Oryctolagus cuniculus: one gene and its partners. The protein of the gene in region 4 purifies or fractionates together with the protein of the main gene of each other region. This does not show direct contact. Links are inferred from orthologs where the notes say so. Each region holds a gene or a part of one and is shown on either strand. Other genes may lie near its edges.

Region 1 (4,090 bases), on a different chromosome or scaffold from region 4:
TATCTATGTTCCTCACCTGACAACTCTGAGATCTAAAATATTTTACTACTGCCACAGTTCAAATATATCTCCCAAAGTTCATATGTTATTTATTTTTTTAAATAAATTTATTTTTTAAGATTTATTTATTTGAAAGAAAGTTACAGACAGAGGCAGAGAGAGAAGTCTTCCATCCACGGGGGCTCATTCCATAGCAACGGCTGGAGCTGCACGGACCCAAAAACCTCCTTGGGTCTCCCACACGGGTGCAAGGGCACAAGGACTTGGGCCATCCTCTACTGCTTTCCAAGGCCATAGCAGAGAGCTAGAGGGGAAATGGAGCAGCCAGGACTTGAGCCGGTGCCCATATGGGATGCTAGCACCACAGGCACCAGCCCCATATTTATTTGAAACAGTTACACAGAGGGAGAGAGAGATCTGCCACCCACTTCCTAAATGGCCACAATGGGCAGAGGTAGGCCGACTGAAAGCCAGGAGCTTCTTCCGGGTCTCCCGTGTGTGTGGCAGGGGCCCGGATTGGAGTGGGGTAGCCAGGACTGAAACCAATGCCCATATGGGATGCCAGCACTGCAGACGGTGGCTTTACCTGCTATACTACAGTGCCGGCCCAGGTTTAGGTGTCAGAAAATTTATTCCCAGAGCCAGAGAGTTGTTCCACATCTGACCCAGCTCCCGGCTGATGTGCCTGAGAAAGCTGCAGAAGGCCCATGTACTTAGGTCCCTGTACTAAGACTCAGATGAAGCTTCTGGCTCCCCTCTGGCCCAGCCCTGATCACTGTGGCCATTTGGGGAGTGAACCAGTGGAAGGAAGATCTCTGCCTTTCAGATCAATCAATAGATCTTTAAAACAAAAAAAACTTAATTTCCAGTATAGCCATGTTGAGGTGGGACCCTTAGATTAGGTCACGAGGGCTCTGCTCTAATAAAGGGACTGCCATTATCTCAGGACTGGGTCAAGATGAAAGGATGAGTTCAGGCCCCTTTCCCCTCCAGCACAGACACACTCATCCATGTGATGCCTTCCCACCATGTTGTAACACAGCAAGAATGCCTTGCCCTTACCAAGTGTGACCCCTAAATCCTGGGCTTCTCAGCCTCCAGAACTGGGAGCCAAACAACTTTCATTGTTTGTGGATTTCCTAGTCTGCGCTATTCTCACAGCAACGCTAAAGAGACTAAGACACCTACCAATAATTATATGGTACTCCTGAACCTTTTATTAACAGTAATTTTAAGAGTGGTATAAGTCAATTAACAAGTACAGTTAAGCCTATCGAAGAAGAATAAATTAATTCAGAAATTTAACAACGACTCACCAACTAAAACTTTAGCAGCTGGATTGTCAACACCAATGTTTTTCAGAATAGTGGCACCGTCATTAGTTACCATAAGAGAGGCTTCTCGTCCACTGCTTAGAAGAATTTTGTCCTAAATAAAACATATTGGGTTCAAATTAAAATATAAATGGACCTTGAAGAGCACCCAGATCAATCAGTACTCCAAATACTGCTAACGTGTAAACACTCTGGGTGACTACTTGGCAGTATGCAAGTTTATAATGTATACTCCGCAAGCAAACCTTGGTATCTCTACCCCTAGAAGCACAGAGAGAGACAATCTGGGTTTCAGCACCCTTAAGAGCAGAAACAGTGATTGCCATTTAATATCCAATAGGACTTGGATACATTCATCTTACTTTTATAATTAAAACTTGGGATATTAAGAGGTCTAAAATAATATTAAAACTACGAAAAGAAAATTCCCTCTTTTCCTTACCATGCCCTTGGGTCCCAAGGTGCTCTTTACCAAGTCTCCAATGGCGATGGCACCAATGAAAGACGACTGGAGTAAAAAAAAAAATCAGAGATTGTGAGAATTCATTTTAGCCTTAAAGAACAACTTTACCTCTCAAACAGTAAGAACGTCAGAAAAGGGTTTACCAGACGAGCTGTCTCCGCTCTTTCTTCATCAGCTCCAGCTTTGAAGATGTTAACAGGCGCAAGGGAAAGGGACGCCTTCAGAGGAAAACCAAGAAACAATCAGTTTGAACAACAACTCTGGAACACATATATTTACATGCCTTCCACTGGATTTACAAGCAGGTATCTAAGAGAACATTCATTTACAATACGGCGATTGCAAACAAATTCAGCTTCCAAGAGAGGCGGGATCAGAAAGGTACTGTGCCGTTTTGGGTAACAAGCACGCCAGGAATAAAAATTACACACCCGAGAGGCGGACTACCGAGCAGGGCAAGACCAAAGACGATCTTAAAACAAGAACAAGGCCCGCAAAGGTTGGGGGACACGAGCCGGACGCCCGCCGGGGAGGCAGCCTCCATCTTTTACCCTCGGGCGGCTCCTTCCCCGCCGCCCCAAACCCCGCCCCGAGGGGGAGGGCGGGGCCGGCGAGGCGCTAGAAATTTCTCCGGCGAGGCTGAGGCCCACGTTTCGGGGTCCCGGGCTCGGGCTTGTGGAAAGGCCGAGTCTGACCAGACATTGGCCTTACGGAACCACTTCTCCGCCTGGCCTGCATGGACGGCTCCACTGGCTGGCCCCGCGCGGGCCACACGCGCGGCCCGCGCCATGTGCGGCGGGCCCAGGAGGCCGGCTCGGGGAGCCTGCGACGCTGGGAGGCCAGAAAGAGCAGGGGGGCGGCAAGGCATAGCGGGGCACGGCCGGGGTTGCGAAGGGACAGGAAAGAGGTCAGACTCACCATGGTTCCGAGGAACTCGGGACACGAGCGATTCCCTCACAGCCCGCGCCCGGAGCCAGCAGCGAAGAGAAGCCGGAAGTGACGCCACACGCTCTATCGCGAGGGCAGGGCCCCGGCTCTACGAGACCGGAAATGAGCCCTACGCCGTGGGGCGGGGCCTGGGCTCGCGCTCCCGCCCCCTGCGGCGCCGCCGGCTCTCGTCTGAAAGAATGGCCTGGCGGATTCGCAGAAACAAAGAATTGCCGCCCTGTTTCGGTTGCCATGCCACGGAGTTTGTGCCCGTATTTTGTCTTAAATTTAATACTTAATTTGTGTTAAAAGCACATATATACACAGCTATATACTACTAAGCAAAAAGCATTCCTCACATCCCATGCTCTTATGGTGGGCAACCTCTTCCGGCTTCCCAGTTTCTTTTATTTGTCATATTCGTGAATGATATTTTTGCTTTATTCTCTTTTATTTTAAACATTGTTGAGCATTACAGAGGGAAACTCCCTTTGCTTTTGTAGAATCTTAAAAAGCTGTTTCAAATTGGATTTACACAGTCCAGAAAGACACAGTCATTTGAACTCCCCTGTTTGCTCATTTTCAGGTTTGCATATTATATTTTTTTCTACCTTTACATGATCAGGAGGGATTACAATCAATCCCAAATAATTCTTTTATTTAAAAAACTTTTCAGGGTCAACGCTGTGGAGTAGCAGGTAAAGCCGACACCTGAAGTGCCGGCATCCCATATGGGCGCTGGTTCAAGTCCCAGCTGCTCCACTTCTGATCCAGCTCCCTGCTACGGCCTGGGAAAGCAGAAGAAGATGACCCAAGTCTGTGGGAGACCCGGAGGAGGCTCCTGGCTCCTGGCTTCCCAGTCGGCGCAATTACCTTCATTGCAGCCATCTGGGCAGTGAACCAATGGATAGAAGACTCTCTGCTTCTGCCTCTCTGTATCTCTGCCTCAAGTAAATAAATAAATCTTAAAAAACAAATTTCTATTTTATTTGGCCCCTCTAAGATGTCTAAAGCAAAACTTTGTGTTTTAAAAAAATAATTAGGGGGCTGGCGCTGTGGCGTAGTGAGTAAAGTCGCCATCTGCAGTGCCAGCATCCCATATGGGCCACGGTTGGAGTCTGGGCTGCTCTGCTTCCAAACCAGCTCTCTGCTATGGCCTGAGAAAGCAGTAGAAGATGGCCCAAATCCTTAGGCCCCTTCACCCGCATGGCAGACCCAGAAGAAACCCCTGGCTTCAGATCAGCATTGTTCTGGCTGTTGTGGCCAATTGAGGAGTGAACCAGTGGATGGAAGATTTATCTTTCTCTCTGTCTCTCCTTTTCTGTAACTCTGCCATTCAAATACATAAAATCTTTTTAAAAATTTT
Region 2 (4,285 bases), on a different chromosome or scaffold from region 4:
TAATAACTAGCACAATGTAAACTCTATGTAAGTAGTTACACTGTATTGTTTAGGGGATAATAACAAGGAGAAAAGGTCTGTATATGTTCAATACAAATGCTTTTTTTTTTGGTAAGTTTCTGGCTTTTTGCTTATTTTCCATCCTTAGCAACTATGCCTCTGAGTTTAAGAGCAAGAAGCTGAGGTAAACTGGCTGGAGCTGTGCCGATCCAAAGCCAGGAGCCAGGAGCTTCTTCCAGGTCTCCACGCCGGTGCAGGGTCTCAAGGACTTGGGCCATCCTCCACTGCTTTCCCAGGCCATAGCAGAGAGCTGGATCAGAAGTGGAGCAGCCGGGACTTGAACCGGCACCTGTATGGGATGCCGGCCACTGAAGGCAGGTGGGGGCACCTCTAGGCCACAGCGCCGGCCCCCCACGTGCTCTTGAACCATCACCTGCTGCCTCCCAGGGAGTGTATTCCAGGAAGCTGGATCAGAGGCAGAGCTGGGACTGCACACGCATTTTCTGATGATGCAAGTGACACAAACAGCAACTTAACTGTTGAGCCAAACACTCGCCCCGAGGAATGAGGTAAACGGTTAATTCCCGTAGGCCAGAAGTCCCCTCACCCCGCAGCGTGTCTCAAGTCCATTCCTCTGAGAACTGTGGAACTCTGTTCAGGCTCCTAAGTGGGGTGACTGCTGGATTTCCCACCACTCTCCCCGGAACACCTCCTGGGACCAGCTCACACTTGGGGGCGGCGATGCAGACACCGAAACGGCCAGCCGGACCCAAACTGTAGCGGCAGCAGGAGGGGCGGTCGGTGACCGCAACCGGCTCGGGCTTGGGGGAGCAGGGAGAGCTGGGGTGGGCTGGAGCCGGCAAGGTTGGGAGGTTGGGATGGGTGGGGGCTGTTCCCAGTGCTGCACCTAATACCAGTATTTGGAAGGAGGAAAGATAGGATATGCAGACGGAGCCGCCCAAATCCCGGCTCCACCCCAAAGTTCTGCATCCATTCACTCAAAAAAAAAAAAAAAAAAAAAAAAAAAAGGCCCCCATGTGTGTTGGTCACAGGGGTACCGGGATGAGAGACAGGACTCCCAGCCCTGTGGCTGGCAGTCAGTGAGTATGTACGGAAAACAGATACGAGGTCCTGGCCGAACCCCAGGGACCCAAGGCTGGAAAGGTGGAAGCCAGGGCCAGGCCGCCCGGCAGGCAGGGGTCAGAGCACACGGCCTCTCGGCTTGCGGTCAGCAGTCTGGATTTCATTGTGAAAGTTGCCATTGCATTCATTCTGCAACCCCCTTAAGCGCTAGCCATTCTTGTCCCAGCTTTACTGCCGGGAACGATTCAGGCGGGGCGCGCGGAGTGGACTGATCCGGCCCAGGTCGCCCGCAGGCGAGACGCGGGGGTCACGCTCCACCGAGACCGCGCCACACTCAGGGAACTGACCGCTCGCTCCCGGGCGGCCCGACGCGCGCCGCGGGGACACCGCGCATGCGCCGCTCGCCGTACGGAAGCCGGGAGGGCAGGGGGCGGGGCCGAGGCTGGCGGGCGCGGGGAAAATGGCGGCGGCGGCGGCTGCGGCGAACGGGACCGGAGGGAGCAGCGGGATGGAGGTGGATGGAGCAGGTAACGGGCTGCGCGGGGGCGACTTCTGGAGACAGCACTCAGGGGTGCGTGCAGGCCGTCTTGGACTCCCGGGGGACGTGAGGAGGGCGGTGGGATAACTTGTGGGAGCGATGTATGGCCCCGGCTCTGCCGTCCCCCGACTCCCATCTCCAGGGAAGAGCGTGGGGGTCCGGAGACTCTCACCCTCTCTCCGTCCCCTGCACCGTCAGTAGTCCCCAGCGTGATGGCCTCCGGAGTGACCGGCAGTGTTTCCGTCGCCCTCCATCCTCTCGTCATCCTGAACATCTCCGACCACTGGATCCGCATGCGCTCCCAGGAGGGGCGGCCTATGCAGGGTGAGTGTTGGGCGTGCTTCTCCGACCCCGTCCCCTCGGTAGCTCCCCGGGCCTCGTCAGCCGAAGCCAGTCCCCCTCCCCCATCACTGTTTCTGCAGCAGTCGGCCCACACGTGCCCTCAGACCCCCAGCGGGAGATCAAGTTTTGGGATTCCCTACCGTCCCCTCTCACGTCCGTTCTCTTCCCCCCAGTGGTCGGGGCTCTGATCGGGAAGCAGGAAGGCCGGAATATTGAGGTGATGAACTCCTTTGAGCTGCTGTCCCACACCGTGGAAGAGAAGATTATCATCGACAAGGAGTATTATTACACCAAGGAGGAGCAGTGTGAGAGGGGAAGCCAGTGGGGGAGAGGTGTGGGGGGTCAAAGAAAGAAAAACAAAACAAAACACAGGACCGGGGAGAAATAACCAGGAGAGGAAGCCGAGAATGGAAGAGTTAATTCACCTGAAGAGATCTCAAGACGGTATTCCCTAAAACGGTGTACAGGATGAGCGGTCAGAATAGCAGGGGTGAGGAGGGAGGGGGAGCTCGGAGGCAGGGAGGGTGGTTTAAAGAAGTACGATTGCTCTCCAGTTAAACAGGTATTCAAGGAGCTGGAGTTTCTGGGCTGGTACACCACAGGGGGGCCGCCTGACCCCTCCGACATCCACGTCCACAAGCAGGTACAGATACAGACGCTCACACCTGCGACTGGCGGGTGGGGGGCGGGGGGCGGGGAGAAGAGGGTGGGACGTCCACCTGCACGCCGGCCCTCTCCTCCAGGTGTGTGAGATCATCGAGAGCCCCCTCTTTCTGAAGTTGAACCCTATGACCAAGCACACAGACGTGAGTAGTCCTGACCTCGTGCCGTGCTTGTTTGTCGGTCCGCTGTTGCCGGTAGCACAGCTTCTTAGCAACTGGGCAGTGCTGGGGTTGAACCTCCGTTCTGCCCTTAGCAGCTGCGTGGCTTTGAGTGGCGTTTAACCTCCACATTGCTGTTTCACATGTGAAACGGGGATACTCCCTACCTCCCTGGGTTCTTGTGAAGATCGGATGGGAGGCGGTGCCCACGTGTAGCACCTAGTGGAGATTCAAGTCATTTGCTGTTCCTAAGAGCTGTTCTCTGTTCTTTACAGCTTCCTGTCAGCGTTTTTGAGTCTGTCATTGATATAATCAACGGAGAGGTAACGCCTGACCCCTCACCCCTCAGGGCCTGCTCGACGCATTTCCGATTTTGACTCTCACTGTCTGGGACACTCTGCTCCACAGGCCACGATGCTGTTTGCTGAGCTGACATACACTCTGGCCACAGAGGAAGCTGAACGCATTGGTGTTGACCATGTGGCCCGAATGACAGCCACAGGCAGTGGAGAGAACTCCACCGGTAATGGAGGGGATTCCTTGGAAGCGAGGGTGGGAGGTATGGCCAAGTGCCTTCTCACTCTCTGCCCGTGCCTGTCCCTTGCAGTGGCTGAACACCTGATAGCACAGCACAGCGCCATCAAGATGCTGCACAGCCGGGTCAAGCTCATCCTGGAGTACGTCAAGGCCTCTGAAGCAGGTAGGGCAGGCCTGTGGCGTCCACCTCCCCCCCGGCCAAGTGACAGCATCCATGTGAATGCGGTCTCTTCTTGTCTGTAGGTGAGGTCCCCTTTAACCATGAGATCCTGCGGGAGGCCTATGCTCTGTGTCACTGCCTCCCAGTGCTCAGCACAGACAAGTTCAAGACAGACTTTTACGATGTGAGTATGAAACCCGGCTGGGGAGGTTTTGCTCACAGGATGGGACTGCAAAGAGGGATGCCTGGAGAACTGGTTCTTTCTGTTCCCCTGCAGCAATGCAATGATGTGGGGCTCATGGCCTACCTCGGCACCATCACCAAAACCTGCAACACCATGAACCAGTTTGTGAACAAGTTCAACGTCCTCTATGACCGACAAGGCATTGGCAGACGGATGCGGGGCCTCTTCTTCTGAGGCCACTTGAAAGGATGCACTGGGCTCAGCGGCCTGTCCCAAGGGGAGGGGCGCGCCACTCCCTTAGAGAACCGCTGTGGTCAATAAAAGGGGATCAGCCCCTCAGCACCCCTCCCAGTGGCTCTGTCCTCTCTGTCGGGCACCAGATTTCCCAGTGGGGACCTTAGGTGAGGCCCCTTGTGCCAGCTTTGTGAGGCAGAATCTGTGTCAGCACTTGGCAGTGCACTGCCTCCTGAAGTGACCCCACAGCCAGTTGGGTGGAGGACTCAGGAGCACCCGCGATCTTTGCTCTGCGCTTTCACGTCACCCTGTGGGGTCCACCTGAGCTCAGTGCAACTGCTTTCCCCATTTAAATTAACTTCATTAAAGTTTTTCTCATACATAAA
Region 3 (3,973 bases), on a different chromosome or scaffold from region 4:
GCCTACACTTCCTTCACCCTTGTTTTTTGTTTTGTTCTGAGTTTTTCAATCTGATTCAGGTCTTGACCCTGAAACTGTGCACCCAGGGGACCTATGTGGGGTATCCCAGGAATTTTCTCTTAAAGTGCCTCCAAAAACCGCCCTTCTTCCACTCCCATCACTGCACAGCTCCAGCCCCCCTGGTTACCTAAGTAGTCAGCGTACGTCCCATAAGCAAACACGGTGAGCAGCCGGAACGTGGAAGCAAAGTCACTTTCGGCGAGCTGCAAGGTGAGGCAAGAGACGTGGTGATGGCAAGGGCTTCCCTCGACACCCTCACTCTTTCCAGCCCCACCTTTCCTGGAAAATGTCGCCCCTCCCCCCAGCTCACCAAGAGGGGCTCTCTGATCACTCTCCTCACAGGTAGGGCTCATTTCCACCTTTGCTTGGACTATTTCCCAATGCATACACACCCTCCAGTAAACTCAAGGTTGAAAACATTCAGTGTTCCAACTGTAAGACACAGCCACCAGAAGCGGCCAGCTGTACTGTCTGGCTGTGGGCGTGTCTGCCCTTCCTGAATCTGAGCATCCCTCTGCAGTCGTCTCCGACCCCTCCGTTCACCAGAGTCCCTTGTTGACAGCTGCACACCCAACAGGCATCTGAGCTGTGGTCTCTGTCGCAGCCCTGCATCGGTGGGAGGTGGTCTTCCATCACCCAGTCCAGCCTACCCATACCTCCTCTTCTATCTGATCACTCATTTGGGCATTTAAGCCATCAATCCCTGCAGAAGGGTCTGAAATTAGAATCTCTTTCAATAGGATTCCAGACCAAGTCTGGTATCCCTCTAAGAGAAAACAGACCTCTGCGTGTGGTCAGCCCTTCAGTACATGCTTGCTGAACCAATGATTTATATGGCACTATCCATCATCTCATCTCTTCCACTGGTTCCTAAGACTCCTGTTTGGTACTGAACACCAGCAGAGGGCCACACGGGCACTCAGTGCTTCTCTGTGTTCCCCTTAACGGATACTTTTTTGGACCCACTGCAGATGAAAGTAAGGGGAAAAAAGCCCCAATTTTTTCCATATCACAGTGACCTCAAAAAGCCATATCCACTGACTCAATCACAAGCCCTCACAAACTGGCTAACAGTTTACCTACACATTGCTGTCACAGCGTCTCAGGGCATGGGTGGGGATCACACATCTTGGTGACTCATCCGCCCTGGACTTTGAACCTTGCCACTTCTGTGTGAAAGTCTCTGCTGTGTTCCAACAGTCTGCCATGTGTCTCTGGGGGGAAAAGACACCTCCTTTCTTTCCTTTCTCAGGTGCATTAGCACAGGCTGCCCAGGGAGAGTACTGTCTGCTAATTTAACCTGTTCATTCCATCTGCATCAGACCTAACACTTTCCCATGATCTTACTGGATTCCTACAGTGACCGTCGAGAAAAGTATCATCTCCATCTTTAAAAGAGGAAACCGAGGCCCTCAACGAGACGCCCCGATTGTCAGGAGGTATTACACTGGGGGGGACAGACTGGAACCCAACCTTCCTATTTGCAATGACATGCTCTTTTGCTTACAAATGTAAATACTGCATTTTCTGTTACAACGACAGACAAACTAAGACGTTTATTTGCTTATTATTTACTTTTGCAACGCGCCAGTTAATCATCACTGTGTTCTTGTTCAACAAAATGGTTTCGTGGGGTTGCGAAATGAGTCCATTCTCAAAGCCAGACTTATGCCCCATGCTTCCCTGAGGGGCTACCCAGGCCAGCAACCCACCTCTCTAACATTAGGCATATCCAGCAGTTCCCCAAATACGTAGACACCAGGGGCCTCCAACACCTGGTGGATGAGTGTGGCCAGCGCTGCCCCCTTAGCCGACTTGGCCAGCAGCAAAAACTGCTCCTGGTTCTGCCCTGTCACCTTCACCTCCGCACTCATGGCTGTACTGAGCTGGGGGACCTGGGCTCAGGATGTCTGGAGCTGCAAGGAAAGAGGACGTGAAACTGCAGGTCCCTGAGCACTGGCGGGATGGCAAAGGCGAGGGCAAGGGGCCGGACCGTAGAAGCAACAAGCCATTTCTGCAGGGAGGAATCGGAGCAGGAGCAGTGGGGAACGTGGACCCTAAAGGCAGCCGCCTCACAGGGCTGCCACGCCCACCCTCTCCCCCTGCCCCTGGGACTAACTCCCAAGGCACACCACGTGAACCCCAAGGCACAGGATGCAGCGCGGCGACGGCTGGGGTCACAGGTCATGCACCCCAACGACAACGCACCCCTCGGTTCTCCACTCGCTCCCACACGTGCCCCCAACCACGTGACCTCACCCCCACGATCCTTACACGTGGCTCCACCTCCTCCCTTAAAGAGGCCGCCCAGGGACCATGGGCTCCCGCCGACTGTCCCGTCGTACCCTGGGCCAGACTCTGCGGGCCACTACCTGGAAGCTTCGTCTTCCAGCGCACCGGGCGGGGCCGTCGTTCCGTCACCTCCGGCAGCTGTTCCAAGCCTTTCCTGCCACCTCCCTGCAGGGCCGCTCTGGCCACTGAACTCGATGGCCGGCTTCCGGCCGTACTTCCGCTCCGGCGACGCAGGTGTCGGAGGAGACGCGCCCCGCCCCGCCCCGCCGGCCGCCGAGAGCCTGCTCTTTGGATTGGTTGCCGGGGAAAGAATGACGGGAGCCTTTTTTTCTGCTCTGTTTCAATAAAACTTTATGAGTGGAAGACTGCTAGGGACTGAATACCGAGGGGACCCCTGGTCCCTGGCTGTGGTTGGCGGTCTGGGCATCCGGGCAGCGCCGCGTGGCCGGGGCGAGAGGAAAACGGTGATGGCAGGAGACAGGGAGGTGGAGGAGGAAACAGTAGGCAATCGTAGAAGCTCTGCGGCCGAGAGCACGTGGGGAGGCCAACCGCTCACCTGTTGGAGGAGCAGGAGAGATAGCAGGCATCTTTATCACTTGTGCGTGCGGACAGCTGTTCTGCACCCCGTTTGACTCCTGGACTCCCCTACCGTGATGACGTCATGTACTCAGTGATGTTTCTGGCTCACTGACTTAATTCAAGAGGCGAGAGGGAGAAAACCCTAGGTGGAAGAGAGCCGAATGTCATCTTTCCTATTTTTACATAAGTAAGTTGAGGCTCGTAAAAATCAGATTAACTTGGAATTTAGGTCTTTTTGAATTCAAAATCATCTCTCCACGTCACCTCTGACACTTTAAAAAATTTAGAGGCTGCTTGTTATATTAAGCACTGAACTATGAGCTTTACCTAATTCATTCGATTCTCACAACAATCTAGTAGTTATCTCCACTTTGCAGATGGAAAAACTGAGGACCAGCCGAGTTAAGTAACGCACAAGAAGGGGAAAGATGAGAAAGTGCAAAACCAGACAAAATCCTAGGACTGGTGGGCCGCTAGGGCTGAAGGGTTTAAATACTAGAGCTTATGGGGCTGCTGCTGTGGTGTGGTGGGCAAAGCCGCCGCCTGCAGTGCCAGCATCCCATATGCGCTCCGGTTCCAACGCCGGCTGCTCCACTTCTGATCCAGCTCTCTGCTATGGCCTGGGAAAGCAGTAGGCAATGGCCCAAGTGCAACCACCCACGCGGGAGACCCAGAAGAGGCTCCTGGCTCCTGGCTCAGATGGCTCAGATTGGCCCTGCTCAGGCCGTTGTGGTCACTGGGCGAGTGAACCAGAGGATGGAAGACTTTCCCCTCTTTCTCTGCCTCTGCCTTTCTGTAACTCTCCCTTTCAAATACATAAATAAACCTTTTTTAAAAAAATAAAGAGCTTATGGTCATTATCCCTTGGTTTGTGGTAGAAAAATGCGAAGCATAAACACAGAAGGGAGAGAGAGCAGGAAGGAGGGGGAGGGGAGGAGAAGTGAGTGGAAGAGAGAAAACGGAAGTGAGAAGGAGTCAAAGGCATAACAAAATACTACAGCTGGTTCACTCCCCAATTGGCCGCAATGTCCGGAGCTGCAGC
Region 4 (4,566 bases):
GCAACTGCAGACTTCTAATCCCCCGCTGGCCTCCCTGGCCCCTGGACACCTTGAGGCCTTCTCTCCTGCACTTCCTGCCGCTTTCAACATCAACCTGGCCTAGGCGTTAACAGGTAGGCCTACAACAAAGTGAACGGCCTGTGGTAATCAGAACTACTTAGGACAGAAATCTGAAGTAACCCCACTGCCACCCCTCCGTCAGCGTGGATAATCAGGAGCTGTGTGTAAAATCACTCAAGACTGAAAAAGGAAAGGAACTCCAGTAGCCCAGCCTACCCCACTCATCCAGAAATCACAAATTGGATGGGATTTTCCTGATACAATTTCTCAAGGAAGTTTTGAAGGAGCAAAGATGTGGTTAGCAGGAAGGAAGAAATGGTACCACTAATCACAGACGGCGGGTTGGCCTGGCTGGATACGAGGCGGCAGATCAGGACAGATGGATTAACAAGAACACCAGCTGAGGAAGGATTCTTGGGATTCCTTAGTAGGTGCTTGGATATGATTTGAGGTACGTGCGGTACTAAGCGGTCATCATTTTCTGAGTACTCACCCGGTGCTAGGCATGGTGCCAAGTGCTTTAAGTACACTGATTCATCCTCACAACAACCCTATCAGTTAGATACTATTATTCCCTTTTTACAGATGAGGAAACGGAGATCCAAAATGGGAAAGGAAGGGACTTATTTCTATTATTAGAAGCCACCTAAACCTGCAAGACAAACTAAGAAGGTGAAGGTTAGTTTGTGGACCCACACACACGGGTAACTGAAACCGAGAGGGCAGGGCAGAAGCTCAGCATTCTGCACATGCTCACAGGTCAGGGCTGGGCTGAAACTCCTGAGGGAGACAGCTTCTCAGAGAGACAAAGACGGCCCCACCAACTGGACTTGCAAACGTGGCATAAAAGGAACAGAGAGCGCCGAAAGGCTGAGAGACTGTCTGCTGGGGCAAGAAGAGGTCTGGAGCTGCAGGCTCACACGCCTGCCCCCTCCCCACCTTGGGCAGACCTGGTCCGTCCCCACGCTCTCCACTCCCTCTGCGCGTTCTCGTCACTCTGTCACTCACCTTGATGGGAGTGAGGTGCTGGAAGTGCCGGTGAGGATGCAGGATGAGGCCCACGGGGCAGTCCCACTGGGAGGCAGAGTAAATCCGGAGCTCATTCTTCTGATCCGTGGTCAGGAGCCGGGCTCCGTCAGGACTGAAGCAGGCTGGGGAAGTGACAAGCACCTAAGCTGCAGAAACCGGAAGCCCCGCCCCCGTCGGGCCGCTTCTCGCGGGGGCGCCCTCCCTCTGACACCTCTGAGATGGGGGGAAAGGGCAGAGGTGAACCAGGGCTGTGAGCAGAAGAATTCTAGAAACTCAGTAGCCCACAGGAGATCTGAGACACTGGGGAGAAAGGGTCGGCCTAGCAGCTTCCAAACTTCCCAGGAGGCCCCGGAGTGTTGAGACAGGTGGGGTTCACACCTGAGTTGACAGGATGCTTGTGTGGCAGCGAGCAGAGGAAGCTGGCTTTCCCTCTAACCTGGCGCAGGTCCCAGATTTTCACTGTTTGGTCTACGGAGGCTGTGGCCAGTAACCAATCGCAGCTCGGGTTCAGAGCCACATGGGTCACTTTCTTTTTGTGCATTCGGAGATTCCAGAGCTGCAGAGGAGAGCCCGGCTCAGCTGGGGACAGAGAACTGAGGTGGGGGGAGGGGAGGGAAGGCGCGCCCAGGGCTCAGAGCACGCACCTCTTTACCGTCCATGTTCAGCAGGAACACATGCCCCATGTTGTCTCCTGTGACCACCACTCGGCTTCTGGCAGACACGTCCAGGCTGCAAAACCACACGCTGGAAGGAGAGACTGTACTGTGAGATTCCTGGGGCCAGAGACAGGTCCTTTAACTCACTGCTGCAGCTCCTGGGCCTAACCCGCGGCAGGCGCTCAATAAATATTTGTTGAATGAATGAAGTATCTGTCTTACCATGGATTCCCAGGAAGAACACTCAGTCTTGTCTACCAGCCAAACAGAGGGAATGAGGGTGAGGGGGGCTCCAAAATGTGTCCAGTCTCTGCCGGGCCTAGCGTCCTGAGCCAGGGAGAGTCCCAGACGCAGTGAGACCTCGGGCCCTAAGGCAAGCCTCCTGGCTAGCTGGGCCCCACAGCTGCTAGAACCTCGGTCTCCTTTCTCTGCCTTCCCTCTCCACCTTGGGGCTAAAGGAGAAGACACGCCAAGCAGAAACTGCCCCGCTGTGCTACTCAGAGCTGGCCGGAAAGAAATGTCTGCCCCCTTCTGAGCAGTTAGGGTAAAGCACACACGACCTGCAGCCCAGATGCACATCTGTTCCCCTAAACCCTCAGAGCCACGCTAGTCTGCCTTTTGGTCGTTCCCCTTCAGGATCTTTAAGCGAGAGGGTTTCTTGTGGAAGACCAACATGGAGCTGAGTCTAGCCAGTCACCTGTCCCTGTGGGGCAGCCCAGGAAACCCAGTGCTAGCTGTCAGACCCCGCCCCTCACCTAACTCCTTAGGGAGCAGGTAGACTTGGGTCTCTGGCTAGAACGCGGAGGGACCTGCATTTTTAATTCCTCCAGCCCCTTGCTCTTGGGGAGCCCGGAGCACTTTTTGGACACTACTGGATCCACTGAAGCTTCCACCAAGGAACTGGTGAGTTCCTCACCCGCCAACGAACAGAAGGAATTGCGTCTGAAGTCCTAAGTGCCTGCTCCACCCTGGGCCACCACCACGTTGACTTGTCTCGTGAGAGCCAAGGTCGAGCCTAACACAGGTGTGACTTAGAGAAAAGCCGAGAAGAGCCGAGGCTCCAGAACACCTTCCCAAAGCAGGAGCCCACCTGGACGGCAGTCAGAGTAGCCAGAGTTTGAAAAAGGGAGGGAAGGGTGGAAAGTGGCGAACGCCTTCTCGTTCCTCCTGGCCAGGTGCAGGTAACAGAAGCGGGGTCAGGATGCTCTCGCCAGGACTACACCTGGAGCTGGAAGCCCTTGCCATGCTAGTTCGGCTACTCACTTGCAGGTGTCTGAGCTGGTAAAAACTCGGAGGGTGTTGCCTGTAAAGTCTTGCAGCCTAGTTGTTCCCTCCATTGAGGAGGCGAAAAACTGGTTGGTATTGAGAAGGTTAAACTTCAGCCCAGTGATGCTCCCTCCAGCTCCAATCTAACACGAGGAAGGAAAAAGCCAGTGAGTGATGAGGGGCCGGAAGCGAGGAACCAGGCCTGGGCACGTGGACTGTGCTTTGACACAAACGCCAGTCGGTCCCGACACCCAGACCCCAAGGTGCTGTCTCCACAGTGTGCTTTTTAAAATTCACACACAATAAATACTACTTTTGGTATACAGATCTATGAATTTTAACCCATGTACAGATTTGAATAACCAACACCAAAATCAGGATGTAGAACACACTATCACCCCCAAAACTCCCTAGTGCTCTGCTTTCCCACTGTAGTCACACTCTCCCCCTCACCCCAAAACCTCTGGCACCCACTGATCTGTTCCCCAACACTAGAGCTGCCTGCACAGAATATCACAGACAAGTCCCAGGGTCGGTGTTGTGGCATAGCACGGTGAGCCTCCGCCTGCAACACTGGCATCCCATCTGGACGCCGGTTCGAGACCCGGCTGCTCTATTTCTGATCCAGCTCCCTGCTAATGCGCCCAGGGAAGCGGCAGAGGATGGCCCAAGTGCCTGGGCCCCTGCACCCATGTGGACACCTGGGAGAAGCTACTGGCTCCTGGCTTCCACCTGGCCCAGCCCTGGCCATCGTGGCCATTTGGGGAGGGAGCCAGCAAATGGAAGGATCTGTCTCCCCTCTCTCTGTAACTCTGCCTTTCAAATAAATAAAAAATAAAATCTGAAGAAAAGAAAGAAAGAAAGAAAGAAATGCGTGCATAGTGTGCGGCCTCGGAGCCCCTGCCACTGGTTGCTGAGGCAGCGCAGTGCGGCACGGCTGTGCCAGGGTGCCGCTCCCACGCGCTCTTTCTGGAAGAGCTTCAGCTCGCACTGGCGGCAGGATAAGGAGGGCAAGAGTCAGATCCGTCCCCCTTCCTGCTTTTGCAGACAAGGAAGACGAAAACAACCACACTACCAATGGCTGGGCCACAGTAAGTACTTATTATATCCCACACACTGTTTTGTTAAACACTTCACTCTCTCAGAGCTCCTTCACTCCTCTTTATGCTACCCTGGCCTCATAGACCTGGGCAAGGTCTCCTATCCAACAACCACGTCAACAGGTTCCATCCCTCTAACACCATCGGCATCAGTGCTCACAGCCTACCAAGACTTGCTGCTTGTAAGACAATCTGTTCTCGCCGCTGGATCAGCCTCCACTACTCCATGCCGGTCCACCACCACCTTCCCTCTACCTGTCACCCAGTCTGGGAGCCCTGAATCTTTGCTGAGCTGCCACCTGCCACCACCCGCACTGATGTCCGTCTCGGCTGCCACCAGACCACCGAGGCCTCCCCACTATGTAAATACTGGTCCTGCTTGAGTCTACCATTTAATGACTTCTGGTTTCGACTGTTCAGGAAGGAAAGGGAGGAGGAAGAAGATGAAAAAGAGG
Region 5 (4,293 bases), on a different chromosome or scaffold from region 4:
CATTTTCTAAATAGAAAGAAACACTGAAATGCTAGGCTTTTACACTTCACTGGCCATCAATGAGTGGAAAAAAACTTTTAATTAAAGCATTGAAATGCCTTAATAATGTGTTTTAATTTTTTTGGAGGAAGAAAAAAACAAAATTTCTTAAATCAATTTTCAGAAGCAATTAGGATCACAGCTCACTTCTTATAAAAATCTTGGCTATTAAGCAAAATATTTCAGCTAAATAATGAACACATTAGTCAATTACAATTCATATTCACTTCAGAAAGCAGAAAGCTTTACTCTTAAGTCAGAATATAACACTCTTCAAGAGTCTGCAAATGGGAGAGAAGTGATATAAAAAGAAAGGGTTAAAAATAAACAACACCATATCTCTCTGCTTGAAATAAAAGAGTATATTCTTTATTTTTACACTAATGTTGAAAATACAGATAGTGAACACCTAATTTTTCCGATACTAGTATTAAGCCCCAAGGCACTTATGCAGTAAATATTACTTAAGTTCATTCATTTACTTCTCCATTTAATAATCATTTTTGCACTTATTACCTGCCAGTTAAAGGTGTTGAATAAGTGAGCCAGAAAAATAGAACACATTCAACAGATACAAATTAATTCAGCTGAATACATTTTTTTTAAAACTTGATTTTGTATTAGCATCAATGCGTTCATAATACTTTCAATCACCTATCAAAGACAATATTAACAAATTTTCCTAAAAGCTTTAGGGCAATACTTTAAAACTCGTTTTAGTGATAAAAAAAATAGATGTAGTAACTGTACCTATCTTTAGACTAGTGGTACACAGAGTTACAACTTCTGTGTATACCCAGTATTTTTCAATTCTAACCCCTATCTTTGGTAAGATATGTAGAGACCATAAATATTTTCTCTGAATACTGCTTCTGCAATGAGTTTCATAAATACAGTATTCAACAATCTAAGTCCTATTTGAGCATGGAAAGATCACCATTGCTACCTGCTTTTCTGGGGACTGGATAATGTGGCCTACTGAAGCACAAAAATACAAATCCCAGCAGTGCCAAGGCTCACTATGCACCTGAAATAAACAAACCTCTTTAGAACATAAATTTCTCACCTGTAAAATCCGGATCAATCATACTGTAGATACCCAATGTTATAAGGGACAACAAATTAAATATAACAGGTTGAGGAAAACCTCAAAATACTGCACAGAAACACGGGGTGTATGCCTCAGCACAAGGTTCCTAACCACCCCCCTGGCAAATGAACCCTCCACCAAAAAAAGGACCTCCCCTCCACCTCATTAATTACGCATAAAACATTAGCTACCTCTATGCTCTTTAATATAGTAACATAAATAGAGCACGTGACCGCTGAAGTGTCAAATCTTTAGTAGGTGATTATGAATTTTGGCTTTGGTTACCTTTAAAGTTCTTGATCACTAACTTCTTAGCAGAGCCAGGCTTGCTGTTAGCAAAGCTAGAGACGGTGGTAGATTTGGCTAGGCCGTTTGCATGATGCACCGAAGCCACAGAAGAGATTAATATACTCTTATTTTTAAGTTGCTGCTGCTGAGATGTTGCAGCAGTTGGTGAAGATGAGGAGGAGGAGGAGGAGGATTCCTCAGCCATCTTCGCATCAAACCCTACAAACTCCAGGGTGTCTTCAAAACGCAGCTTCTTCTGTATCGGTACGTGGCTGGAAGTAGCCACCGAAACCCCCAGGCAGAAGGACGAGGTTGAAGGGGATGCCGAATCCCTGGGTTGTAAAGGAGGAGTGGAAGAGGAGGAAGAGGTGGAATCAAAGTCTTCTCTCTCGTTACTACTGTTACTGCCGCTACTGCTGCTGCTGTTTAACTTTCTCTTCTTGGCAGAGGTGGGCGGAGTGGTGCTGGTATTACCATCAGTGGCAGATCTGACCTCCTGAGCAGCAGCAGCAGCTGAGGGATTGGGGGAAGAAAAACCTGTTGGAAACATGAAAATAGCGGGGTCAACAGGCAGAGGAGCATCAAAAACCTACAGTTTATATGCCTGCGTGCGTGTAGGAGAAGGTGGCAATGCTAGAGGGGGAAGGGAAGAGAGGAGAAACACAGAGGACGAGCAGGAAAGTGAAGGGGGGGCTACACCGGGGAAATGGGAGGGTTTGGGAAGGCGGATAGGCTGACACCAGGAGTGAGCAGAACGAGGGGGGAGAGTGAATGAAGCGGCAGACAGGTAAACGGCCGTGCCGTCCCCCTCCCCTGCTTTTCGAGCTCTCTCCCCCCCGTTTCTGCAGGAGCGAGTCTGAGTCTGAGGCTGTAGCTCCTCCTCCTTTTCTCCCTCTCTCTGGGAGGGGAGACGCTGTGGTGGTGGGGGGGGAGGGGGAGAAGAGACCCAGGGCTTGTTATTGTCAATAGCACAAGAGGCTAAAGATGGCGCCACTTCCGGTCACGCGGCGCCGAAGGAGGGGCGGCGTCTGTCCCCGGAGTGGGGGTTGGAGAAGAGCACCGCAGCCGCCCAGGGGGGCAGGGGAGCTGGCGCACAGCGGGATGGCGGGACAGGGGCAGCTGAAGCGCCTCAGAGGCTCGCACTACTCTGCTCCGGCTCTCGCTCCCTCTTCCCTTCCCCGGCAGTACCTCCCTCCTCCGGCCCATCGGTAACTCCCATCCCTCCGTAACGGTCCCGCGGGGAGCTTTGCGCCGCGGCGTTCTTACCGGAAGTGACTGGGCAGACACTTTTCATAGCGCCCAGCTCCCGAAGCCCCCGAGTCCGCAGGACTTGAGTGGGGGGTGGGGAGGGAGCAAAGGGGGGGAAGAGAAGTGGAGAGGGAGGAGGGGGCGGGCCTTCGAAACACCTTCGGGGCTTCTGATTGGCGCTTTATGAACGCGAGGCGGGCGGCCACGGTGGGGGGTGACGGGAGAAGGAGCGGGAAGGATCCTGAAGGGGAGGGAAGGTGGTGACGGTGAGGGGCGGGGTAAGCTAGCTGGGAAAAAGGGGGAGGCGGAAGAGGAAGGGAGAGGGAGGGAAGGAGTAAAAAGTAAGGGAAGGAGAGAATGGAAACTTTGAAAGAGATAAAGGAATTAGGAGGGGTTGCCAGGCGAAGAGACTAACCCGAAATGGAAGAAAACAAATCTTGTCATTATGCCTACTGATGTTACAATATTGTTAGAAGAAAAGGAGCTTACATAGAAAAAGAATTTGATTCAGTGTAGCTATAAATTATTTATGTCAAGGACACCACAGAGCCAAAATTGAATAGAGCCAGAGTTTTGATACTTTTCTCAATAGCGTATGTGTAAGTTCTTTTACTTCTTACCAGGAGCATTTTCTAAGATGGCTGGCCAGAGCCAAGGGTGTATTCTAAGGCAAAGAAATAGGAAGGTAGCTAAGTCCTGACCCAGTGCAATTCTTGGAACCACATGCTATCCCGACTTCATCAGCCATGAATTCAGTAATTTATAGACCAAACAAAAAGCTAAGACCTACTTCCTTTGATGAAGTCTCAGCTTCTACAGTGTTTCAAAGGAGACATTTTAGGAGAACAATATTGGCAAAAGTCATGTTTTCTACTAATGTATTCCAGGAGCAAAAACTTTAAATTTGATCGCCGATCAAACAAAACTTGATGTTTGGTTAAATTAACAATAACAAACCCTGTAAGTTCCCTAAGGTAGTTTTTAACCGTAGAACACTCTCAGGGGGAGCAAACAATAATTTTTTCAACCTGTTGATCTAACTACAGAAACTTTTAATGAACATGTATCCGGAGACTTTATGTGCCAGACACTATGCCAAGTCCCTGCCATTGAGAAGCCAGTGGGGGAAGACAGAAGGGTACTACACAAAGCTCATAAAAAAAATGGGATTAAAAGATAAATTTATTTGGGCAAACAGAAAAATTTCAAAATTCATGAATGGTTTCCACATAGTATGCATTTTCCATAAATTTTTTAAGTACTCTTCTAGTTTCAAAATTAATGTCCATAAAAGTACTTTTAACAAATGTACAAAGTGCTGTGGCAAGAGGCAAAACAAGAAATTTGAAGGAACTCTGGAAAAATCAGGGAGTTTGAGAGACACATTTGTGCTGAGTCTCAAAGTGGGAGCTGCCAATAAGACAAGGAAGAGAGTGAAAGGCATTCTGGGCAGTGGAAACATGCACAAAGCAGGGAGTTGTGAAAGGGCCTGGCATGTTTATGGAAACATGGCAACTGCAGTGAGACTGGAAAACAGGATGTCTGGTTGGGACTAAGAAAGATGAGGCTCAAAAGTGCCTAGTAAACCAAGCCAAGAATTTTGGAATCTATCCTGTAGGTTATGTTAG

What was found.
Region 1: the proteins of DDB2 (region 4) and CCT2 purify together in Homo sapiens (co-immunoprecipitation; 3 studies listed by BioGRID and IntAct, counting the BioPlex papers as one, with this or other methods). This does not show direct contact. The link is inferred for Oryctolagus cuniculus from reciprocal best matches to the Homo sapiens genes DDB2 and CCT2.
Region 2: the proteins of DDB2 (region 4) and COPS6 purify together in Homo sapiens (affinity purification with mass spectrometry; 8 studies listed by BioGRID and IntAct, counting the BioPlex papers as one, with this or other methods). This does not show direct contact. The link is inferred for Oryctolagus cuniculus from reciprocal best matches to the Homo sapiens genes DDB2 and COPS6.
Region 3: the proteins of DDB2 (region 4) and COPS7A purify together in Homo sapiens (affinity purification with mass spectrometry; 5 studies listed by BioGRID and IntAct, counting the BioPlex papers as one, with this or other methods). This does not show direct contact. The link is inferred for Oryctolagus cuniculus from reciprocal best matches to the Homo sapiens genes DDB2 and COPS7A.
Region 5: the proteins of DDB2 (region 4) and CUL4B purify together in Homo sapiens (affinity purification with mass spectrometry; 11 studies listed by BioGRID and IntAct, counting the BioPlex papers as one, with this or other methods). This does not show direct contact. The link is inferred for Oryctolagus cuniculus from reciprocal best matches to the Homo sapiens genes DDB2 and CUL4B.

Annotation. Positions count from the first base shown.
Region 1 is NC_091442.1:72,139,105-72,143,194, reverse strand, and holds the start of CCT2 (T-complex protein 1 subunit beta), read right to left. Parts: upstream 2,801-4,090; 5' UTR 2,719-2,800; coding exon 2,716-2,718; intron 2,389-2,715; exon of another isoform or gene 2,229-2,388; intron 2,016-2,228; coding exon 1,941-2,015; intron 1,843-1,940; coding exon 1,777-1,842; intron 1,429-1,776; coding exon 1,317-1,428; intron 1-1,316. UniProt on the Homo sapiens protein: Component of the chaperonin-containing T-complex (TRiC), a molecular chaperone complex that assists the folding of actin, tubulin and other proteins upon ATP hydrolysis.
Region 2 is NC_091450.1:42,358,141-42,362,425, forward strand, and holds the start of COPS6 (COP9 signalosome complex subunit 6), read left to right. Parts: upstream 1-1,485; 5' UTR 1,486-1,543; coding exon 1,544-1,610; intron 1,611-1,819; coding exon 1,820-1,945; intron 1,946-2,136; coding exon 2,137-2,268; intron 2,269-2,517; coding exon 2,518-2,606; intron 2,607-2,706; coding exon 2,707-2,769; intron 2,770-3,059; coding exon 3,060-3,107; intron 3,108-3,192; coding exon 3,193-3,307; intron 3,308-3,391; coding exon 3,392-3,484; intron 3,485-3,564; coding exon 3,565-3,665; intron 3,666-3,758; coding exon 3,759-3,899; 3' UTR 3,900-4,285. UniProt on the Homo sapiens protein: Component of the COP9 signalosome complex (CSN), a complex involved in various cellular and developmental processes.
Region 3 is NC_091440.1:102,792,818-102,796,790, forward strand, and holds the start of COPS7A (COP9 signalosome complex subunit 7a), read right to left. Parts: upstream 2,801-3,973; 5' UTR 2,433-2,800; exon of another isoform or gene 2,269-2,432; intron 1,977-2,268; 5' UTR 1,935-1,976; coding exon 1,773-1,934; intron 264-1,772; coding exon 188-263; intron 1-187.
Region 4 is NC_091432.1:18,715,685-18,720,250, forward strand, and holds part of DDB2 (DNA damage-binding protein 2), read right to left. Parts: intron 3,155-4,566; coding exon 3,009-3,154; intron 1,834-3,008; coding exon 1,734-1,833; intron 1,646-1,733; coding exon 1,468-1,645; intron 1,212-1,467; coding exon 1,069-1,211; intron 1-1,068.
Region 5 is NC_091453.1:98,287,594-98,291,886, forward strand, and holds the start of CUL4B (cullin-4B), read right to left. Parts: upstream 2,801-4,293; 5' UTR 2,712-2,800; coding exon 2,606-2,711; intron 1,955-2,605; coding exon 1,415-1,954; intron 1-1,414.